2 linked regions of the Mus musculus genome follow. The protein of the gene in region 2 interacts with the protein of the main gene of each other region in a pairwise test. Links are inferred from orthologs where the notes say so. Each region holds a gene or a part of one and is shown on either strand. Other genes may lie near its edges.

Evidence for each region.
Region 1: the proteins of Sf1 (region 2) and Sf3a1 interact in binary tests that used the Homo sapiens proteins (3 or more experiments, as listed by UniProt). The link is inferred for Mus musculus from reciprocal best matches to the Homo sapiens genes SF1 and SF3A1.

What each region holds. Positions count from the first base shown.
Region 1 is NC_000077.6:4,177,265-4,180,422, reverse strand, and holds part of Sf3a1 (splicing factor 3A subunit 1), read right to left. Parts: intron 3,011-3,158; coding exon 2,803-3,010; intron 2,353-2,802; coding exon 2,198-2,352; intron 1,283-2,197; coding exon 1,181-1,282; intron 1,070-1,180; coding exon 998-1,069; intron 390-997; coding exon 288-389; 3' UTR 1-287. UniProt on the Homo sapiens protein: Component of the 17S U2 SnRNP complex of the spliceosome, a large ribonucleoprotein complex that removes introns from transcribed pre-mRNAs.
Region 2 is NC_000085.6:6,362,001-6,365,914, reverse strand, and holds the start of Sf1 (splicing factor 1), read right to left. Parts: upstream 2,226-3,914; 5' UTR 1,828-2,225; coding exon 1,797-1,827; intron 1,396-1,796; exon of another isoform or gene 1,209-1,395; intron 252-1,208; coding exon 123-251; intron 1-122. UniProt on the Homo sapiens protein: Necessary for the ATP-dependent first step of spliceosome assembly. Binds to the intron branch point sequence (BPS) 5'-UACUAAC-3' of the pre-mRNA. May act as transcription repressor.

The sequences.
Region 1 (3,158 bases), on a different chromosome or scaffold from region 2:
TTCAAGAAACCAAAGCATGATACAAAATGATGAATGGCATTAACCATATTCTATTAACTAAGCATCACTCGATAGTGTGAAACTGTCCTGTGGGACAACCCTGGGTATTCAACTTCTAATGGACTTCCTTGAAGGACCTCCAATCCAGAATTGAAACAAGATATTCATTCCGTAGACTGGCTTTGAGGGAAACAAATGCCCAGGCTGTGCCTGAGGCCCCAGGGACACTCCTGGAATTGGTGGTGCAAAGAGGTACAATGGCAAGGTTTCAATTGCAGTATCTCTTGCTACTTCTTCCTGCCGCCTCTCTCCTTGAGGGCCAAGTGGATGACAGCACCACTGGCCATGTTGTAGTAAGCCAGGGAGTTGGAATCCTTGATGAAGATGCCCTGGAAGACAGACAAATGTCTTAATGGACACCACCTGTCTTTGACCACATGCAGCCTCACACAACTGAGCTTACTGCTATTCTAGACTTCACTACTATGGAAGCTTAAGGGAAGGTCAGCGAAGTATGGAACTTTGGCTTCTTCTAGAACATCTCTTTTTCCTTCCTTCTTTCTAACAGATGCAAAGTAAGGAACTTTGTCAACATTTGGTTTAGTTTTCAACTTCCCAAACATTAGCCATGACCAAACTAAAAGGCACAGCTGACTTCTCAGGTCAAAAGACCTTTAGTGATTATCTTTTTCAACACCCTATTTCACACAGGAAGAGAGGAAGCCCCAGAAAACCTGAATACCCCTTTGCACCTCCATAAACAACCAGGCTGCCTAAGATCCCATCACTGGTCTGCTCCCCATCCAGAGACCAAGGCTTTTAGACCCGAATTATACTATGCTGTCAGAACCCAGCACTATTAGGTCCACCTGCCCCCGCATTCCAGCTGGATCACTTCTAGGATGGCCTCATCCAGGTCTCTCTCCATCATACTTTCTACAGATTGTTTCAGGGATGGTAGAGGAATTGGAACCTAAGGGGCAGGACCCTTGCTTACTTCATACTGTAGTTTCTGTTTCCCCGCAGGCATGCCCGTGGCTTCATGAATCTTCACTTTGATGACAGAGACCTGTGGGATCACAGAAAGTTCATTCATTCTCTTGTTAAGACCATCTGGAAAAAGCTGACCCAACCCACTGACTCCAAAGCACCTGTACCAACTGGGGGTGGCAAAACATACCTGGTCTGTGAGTGGGAGAGTGAAGACCAGCCCCTGACCATTCAGCTTCCATTCCGTCTTATCCTGCATGTTGGGTACCTGCACTTTGATGGATACTGGACCCTGCAAAATGCAGTGCTCATTATGTCTGGAAAGCCCCAAGCCAATTAGGAACTATGCTGTGCTATCAGTTGCTCATCCAAACAACGACTCCTGCCCCTCTCACCCCTTTACTGCTGATACCAGGTGTGACACTACACAGGCTTCATTTCTTCTTTATTTTTCTAGACAGGCTTAAAGGTAGGGGTCAGGGCTAGCCTAGGCTGACCTCAAACTTCCTGCCTCTAGAGTTCTGAGATTGTAAGTGTATATTATCATACTGTTTCATTCCCATTCCTTAAATATTCCTTAAAATTCCACTGAATTCTGCAAACTCAAGGACCAGCAGGGTAAAGATATGGTCTGTGAAGTACTGGTTTCAAACTCAGCAGACAAGACACCTAAGCTTGCCTGTGTCAAAACAGACTGGTGGGAACACTAAAGAGAATAGTCTGAACCTTTGGTAGGTGTTCAAAGAATAGACACACATTAGCTAGTTTGTCAAATTTATGGGCCAAATCTCTTGGGACTGTCACTGCCTTCTCACCAAAGCCTAACAGCTTTGTCAGAGACCACCAGTACCAATATAGAGTCCTTATTCCAGAATGCCAGCAGAATCCTACTCCAATGAGCACCTTCCCAGAGCAGGGAGAGAGAGATCTGAATTTAATAACTGTGCTGAGCGAGACTTCCTAGAGCTGGTTTAGTGATCTGTCACCTCACTCCTGTGATAATGTCTTAGCAGCCGCATCTCCACAGGAGTCCACACTACCACAAGCTCCCAGCTACTGACCTCACATTACAAACATCCCCAGAAGCTTCGTATGGCTGACTGACATCCCAGGAACTAAAGGCATGGGATAGTACATAACTGGGGCTTGGGTAACCCATGCTGCTGCCGGATACTGCAGGGCACAAGCAGTTTCCTGGGTCACAGACCTTGTTCCTGCGCAGGAATTCTTCCTCAGGCATGAGACTGTCCTCGGTCTTTAGTTTCTTGGATGGAGGCTCATCCTCCATAGGAGGTGGGGGGTGTACAGGAGGCATTGGAGCTGGGGCTGGGACTGGAGCCACAGGTGGGGCAGGCACAAAGGCTGCAAGGACAAGGAACAGTTGCCTAGTGAGTACAGAAGAGGTGAAGAGGCCCAAGAGGCAGGACTAGGGAGATTTTGCCGGGTGATTTCGAGGCTTTGCTCTGTAAGAGGTGTGAAGTGCCATGCCTTGATGAGTCTGTCACTCAGCACATTCCCTGGCAGGGAGCCTTGGGAGGCTGCCCGAATTAGGCAGCAGGAAAGGGGAGGCAGTGCAAGGTCAGCCAAAAAATAGTTATTGTCAGGCTTCTGGACCTGTCAAGGACCCGACCACCAAATGTAGACACACTAGCTATGCCATCTCAGTCTCTTGTCTCTCACAAGAAATATGGCTCCCAGGTCCCAGTTGAGACTTCCTCTGGGATGGATACTCAGTGGGAACAGCCATCATTAAGGCTAACCACAGCTTTATGGACTAACCCATGAGATGAGAAAGCAACACTACACACCGACCTGTTGGCACAATCATGGGAGGTGGGCGGGGCGCCATGATGGGAGGTGCTGCAGGAGGCATAGGTACCACATTGATCCTGGGTGCGTGGATGATGGGTGGCATGGGGGCAATCACTGAGCCTGGGGGCAGCCGGACCACAGATGCCATGGGTGGCCGAGGCATGACAGGTACTGCAGATACAACAGTGGTGCGGACTGGAGGTGGCATCTGAGGGTAGGAGGAGACACATAAGCCACAGGAAGCCAAGGCTCAGCTTCAAGAACACACCAACTGGTCACTCAGGATGGGGGTTGGACAACTTGGACTCTGCTCATCACTGAGACTCAAGTTTCACCTCAGGCCAATGATAGAAACT
Region 2 (3,914 bases):
AAGCATAGCTCATCACACCTTGTTCCCATGACTAAAATCTTAAGACTTTCAACAGGTTCATCACTCAGAACAATCTGCAGTAACAATCTGAAGATGCACCTGGATGTAGAACGTGTATTTACCTATGTAAGCTCTTTCCTGTTCCCGAGTCAGTCCAGGGGGTATAACTGTAGGCATGCCTGGAATCACTGTCTTCTGCTCCATTGTGTCTTGGTTCCATCGGCTCCTCTTCCTCTTCTTACTTGGGAAGTCTAAAGACAGACAGAGCCCATCAGGCAGAAATATGAACCAGAAGGCAAGCAGTTCATGATAATTAAAACTAAACTGAAATCACCTAAATTTTTAAAAAGAAAGAAATCTCAGAGGTCAGAGAAAACAAGCAGCCATTTTAAAGATCCTCCTGTCAGGAAAGTTAAGGAACAGTTCACATTTAGTTCTTTTAAAACGAAAATACTAGAGAATGTAACAAGGAACACATTTCTTTTGTAGTGTTAACATCAGAGTTTTTGCATATATTGGGTAAGAGCTCTACCACTGATGCATATCTCCAACTCTTTGGATCTTTTGTTTGTTTTTTGAGACAGAAGTCCCTTTAGAGAACCCTGGCAGTCTTAAACTATGTAGACTGGCATCAAACTCAAAGCCCCACCTTCCTCTGCCTCCAGAGTGCTAGGATTAAAAGCATGAACCATCATGCCCTTGCTTCCAAGACTTAATGCACAGAAACCCAGAATCAGAAGTGTACAGATACATATTATCAATTCTGAATGCCTTAAAGGGCAGAAAAGAGGAAACTGGAATGAGGCCCACAAAGCATTGGAACTCAAGCTACAAGAGTACACAACAAATCTCTTGCTACACATTACTGTGGGAAACATGCCATCCTTCAATATGACCATTCTTACTCGTGGAAAGATCAGTTTTCCTGACCAGTGGACACTTGTCATCAGAACTCTGATTTATTACATTCTTCCCTACATTTACCACACAAGGTTTTCTACTTCTCAGATTACAGGCCCAGAGAAAAAGCCTTTTAAAACAGCACGGGGAAAGCTGGTCACTCTGAGAACCTTCTAGAAAACAAAAGGAGAAAACCTTTAATAAATGATCGAACTCAAGCATCCCTAGTAGCCTTCCGAACTCGCCTCACTGTGAAAGGAGACACTCCTGCCACGGGGCTGCTAAAAACCATCAAGGGAGCCACTCACACCACGTCGTCCCGTGGACCTGACTCTCCTGTCCTCCATAGCAGGAGCTCAGGGGGCAACAGGTGGCTTCTTCCAAAACTACCACAATTGCGCCACAAAGCCTGAACGCCTCACTGCGTCTGCGCGAAGAACGCTTCCTCCCGCCCTTCTGGTTCTCGCGGTGCGCGTGCGCAATCGAAGCCTCCCAAACCAGGCCGCGCGTTCCCCGTGGCGCGTCCGCCCGGGCCTCCCGTGCGCGCGCGCGCGTCCTCGCCGCGTCCAACCGCGGTGGCGTTGCCCCTCCGTCGGCCGGTTCGGTTCGCCCGACGACTCTCGCGCTCTATCGGCCCGACTCACCTCCGCCGCCACCGGGCTGGCCCGGCTGCTGGTCCTGGCGCGGAGGCGACCCTCGCTGAAAAGAGCGGCGGCGGCGCGGGGGCGGCTGCTATGGCGGGTACGAGGCCGGGGGCGGCGGCGGTGACGGCACCGCCGCTAAGGACAAGGCCGTGGTTAGGGCCCCCGGCAGCGGCGTCCCGAGCGCCAATAGGCTGGGCTTGAAGCTGCCTCTGGGCCCAGGAAGTGGGGAAAGGCCTGGTAGGCCCAGCTTACCCAGCGGCGTGGCGTTCGCTCCGGTCGCCATGGCGCCCCAGGGGACCGGCAGCAGCGGTTCCTCGTCCTCCGCGGCGACTTCTCCTTCACGAACCTTCCGGGAGCTGGAGGTGGGGGGGAGGGGACCCGACTACGCGGCTGAAGAGCGCGGGGAGCCCGTCCTCTCACGCGGCGGGCGGCGGCGGCGCCAGACGCACAAAGAGGGAGGAGAAAGGACGCCGCGGGGGCGGGCTCGGGGCGGAGGGGCCGCGGCCTGGATTGGGCCGGCCCGAGGTGAGGTCGGAGGCAGCGGCCTCCGATTGGTGGAGCACTGGCTCTTTTCAATATGGGTCGGGATTGGCCGAACCGTTAGGCCCGGCGACGAAATGGCGGCGGGGCCGGGGGAACTGGGAGGTGTCGCAGCGCGCACTCCTTGTTACTGCGCGGACTGAGGCCAGAGTGGCAGGGGAATAGGAGGGGGCAAAGTCTGTGACGTGAGAGAACGGCTAGCTCATTGGCTGAAACCGATGGAGGTAAGCGCCTCGGCGTCGTAGTGCCACACGATTGGCTGAAACGATTCCCCTCCCCCAGGAGCCAGCCGCTCGAGAATGGAGAAAGCCGGGAGGAGAAGCCGGAACCAAGGCGGAGAGCAGGGGTGCGCATGCGTAGGGAGGGCACGCGTGTCCCCGCCCCCTTCCCCAGAGGGGCGGAACGGAGGCCTTAAGTGACGTTAGTCATTGTGCTAGAGGTAACTAGGGACCGCGGCGAAGGGGCGGGCTCGAGCTGACGAACAGGATACGTCGAAGCTGCAGGTAGAGTAGAGAAAGACTTCCTGTTTTCTCTGAAAAATAGTGTTACGAAATGGCTCAAAACTAGGGTAGTTGGTGGGTGTATTTAAAGACTTTATTTCATTCCGGTACAAGGTAGCCAAGTAGCCTGTCACCCGAGAACTTGAAAGGCTGAGACAGGAGAGCTGACATGAGTTTGGGGCTAACCTGGGGTACAGTATATCTGTCTCAAAAAATCCAGGTTCAATGGCACATACTAACTCTTGTAAAGGAAAAGTCAGGCGCTCCAAGTCCTTCTTGGAGAGGGGAGAGAAAGTCATTTCAAAAGTTAGTCTAAAAGTGTGCACTTCCAGGGAAATCTCAATGCGTTGGAAATTTGTTTCGGGTACCTTAAAATTACCCATAAAAATGGTAGGGAACTTGTAAATGAGACTGAGGCCAAACATTCCTTCCCATGAAATAAACATGAGAGTAATGAAACAGGTTAGCACAACATAATAGAACTGGGGATAGATAGGGTTCTCACAGAGAGGTTATTTAGACCCAGTAGGGGAAACAGTGTTTAATATGTAATTAGAGTGGCTAGAGAAATAGCAGATAAGACCAGGCACTGGCTACTCTTCCAGAGTCCCAGGTTGGATTCCTAGAACCTAAATGGTGACTCACAACCATCCGTAACTTCAGTCCCAGGATATCAGAACCCTCTTCTGGCCTCACAGGCACTGCATATATATGGTGCACAGACTTATATGCAGACAAAACACCCATATACATAAGACTAAGTAATCTTTTAAAATGATGTAGAAAAGTAGACATGTAGACAACAGAAGGTTTGGAGTAATCTAGGAATAAAGAGACTACAAAGATAAGAAACTCAAGTATGGTGGATGGTACAAGTCAACAGACTATGACAGGTAGGGAGGAAATGGCCATAGAACAGAGAAAGAGCAAATGTCTGGGCAGAAAATACAATTGAGTGGTAGAACCTAGCACATGTAACTCCCAGATTACATCAGCAGACATGTGAAAGTAGAAAAGCCAACTGTAATACCCAAGAAACCTATCAACCTAAGCAGAGGAGGGGCCAGCTCGGCAGTTAAGAGTGCTGGACAGCAGGGCGGTGGTGGCGCACGCCTTTAATCCCAGCACTCGGGAGGCAGAGGCAGGAGGATTTCTGAGTTTGAGGCCAGCCTGGTCTACAGAGTGAGTTCCAGGATAGCCAGGGCTACACAGAGAAACCCTGTCTGGAAAAACAAAACAAACAAAAAAAAAGAGTGCTGGATACTCTTCCACACCAACTAACAACCATCTCACTTCTGTTCCAGAGGATCGTGACTCCCTGTTCTGACAC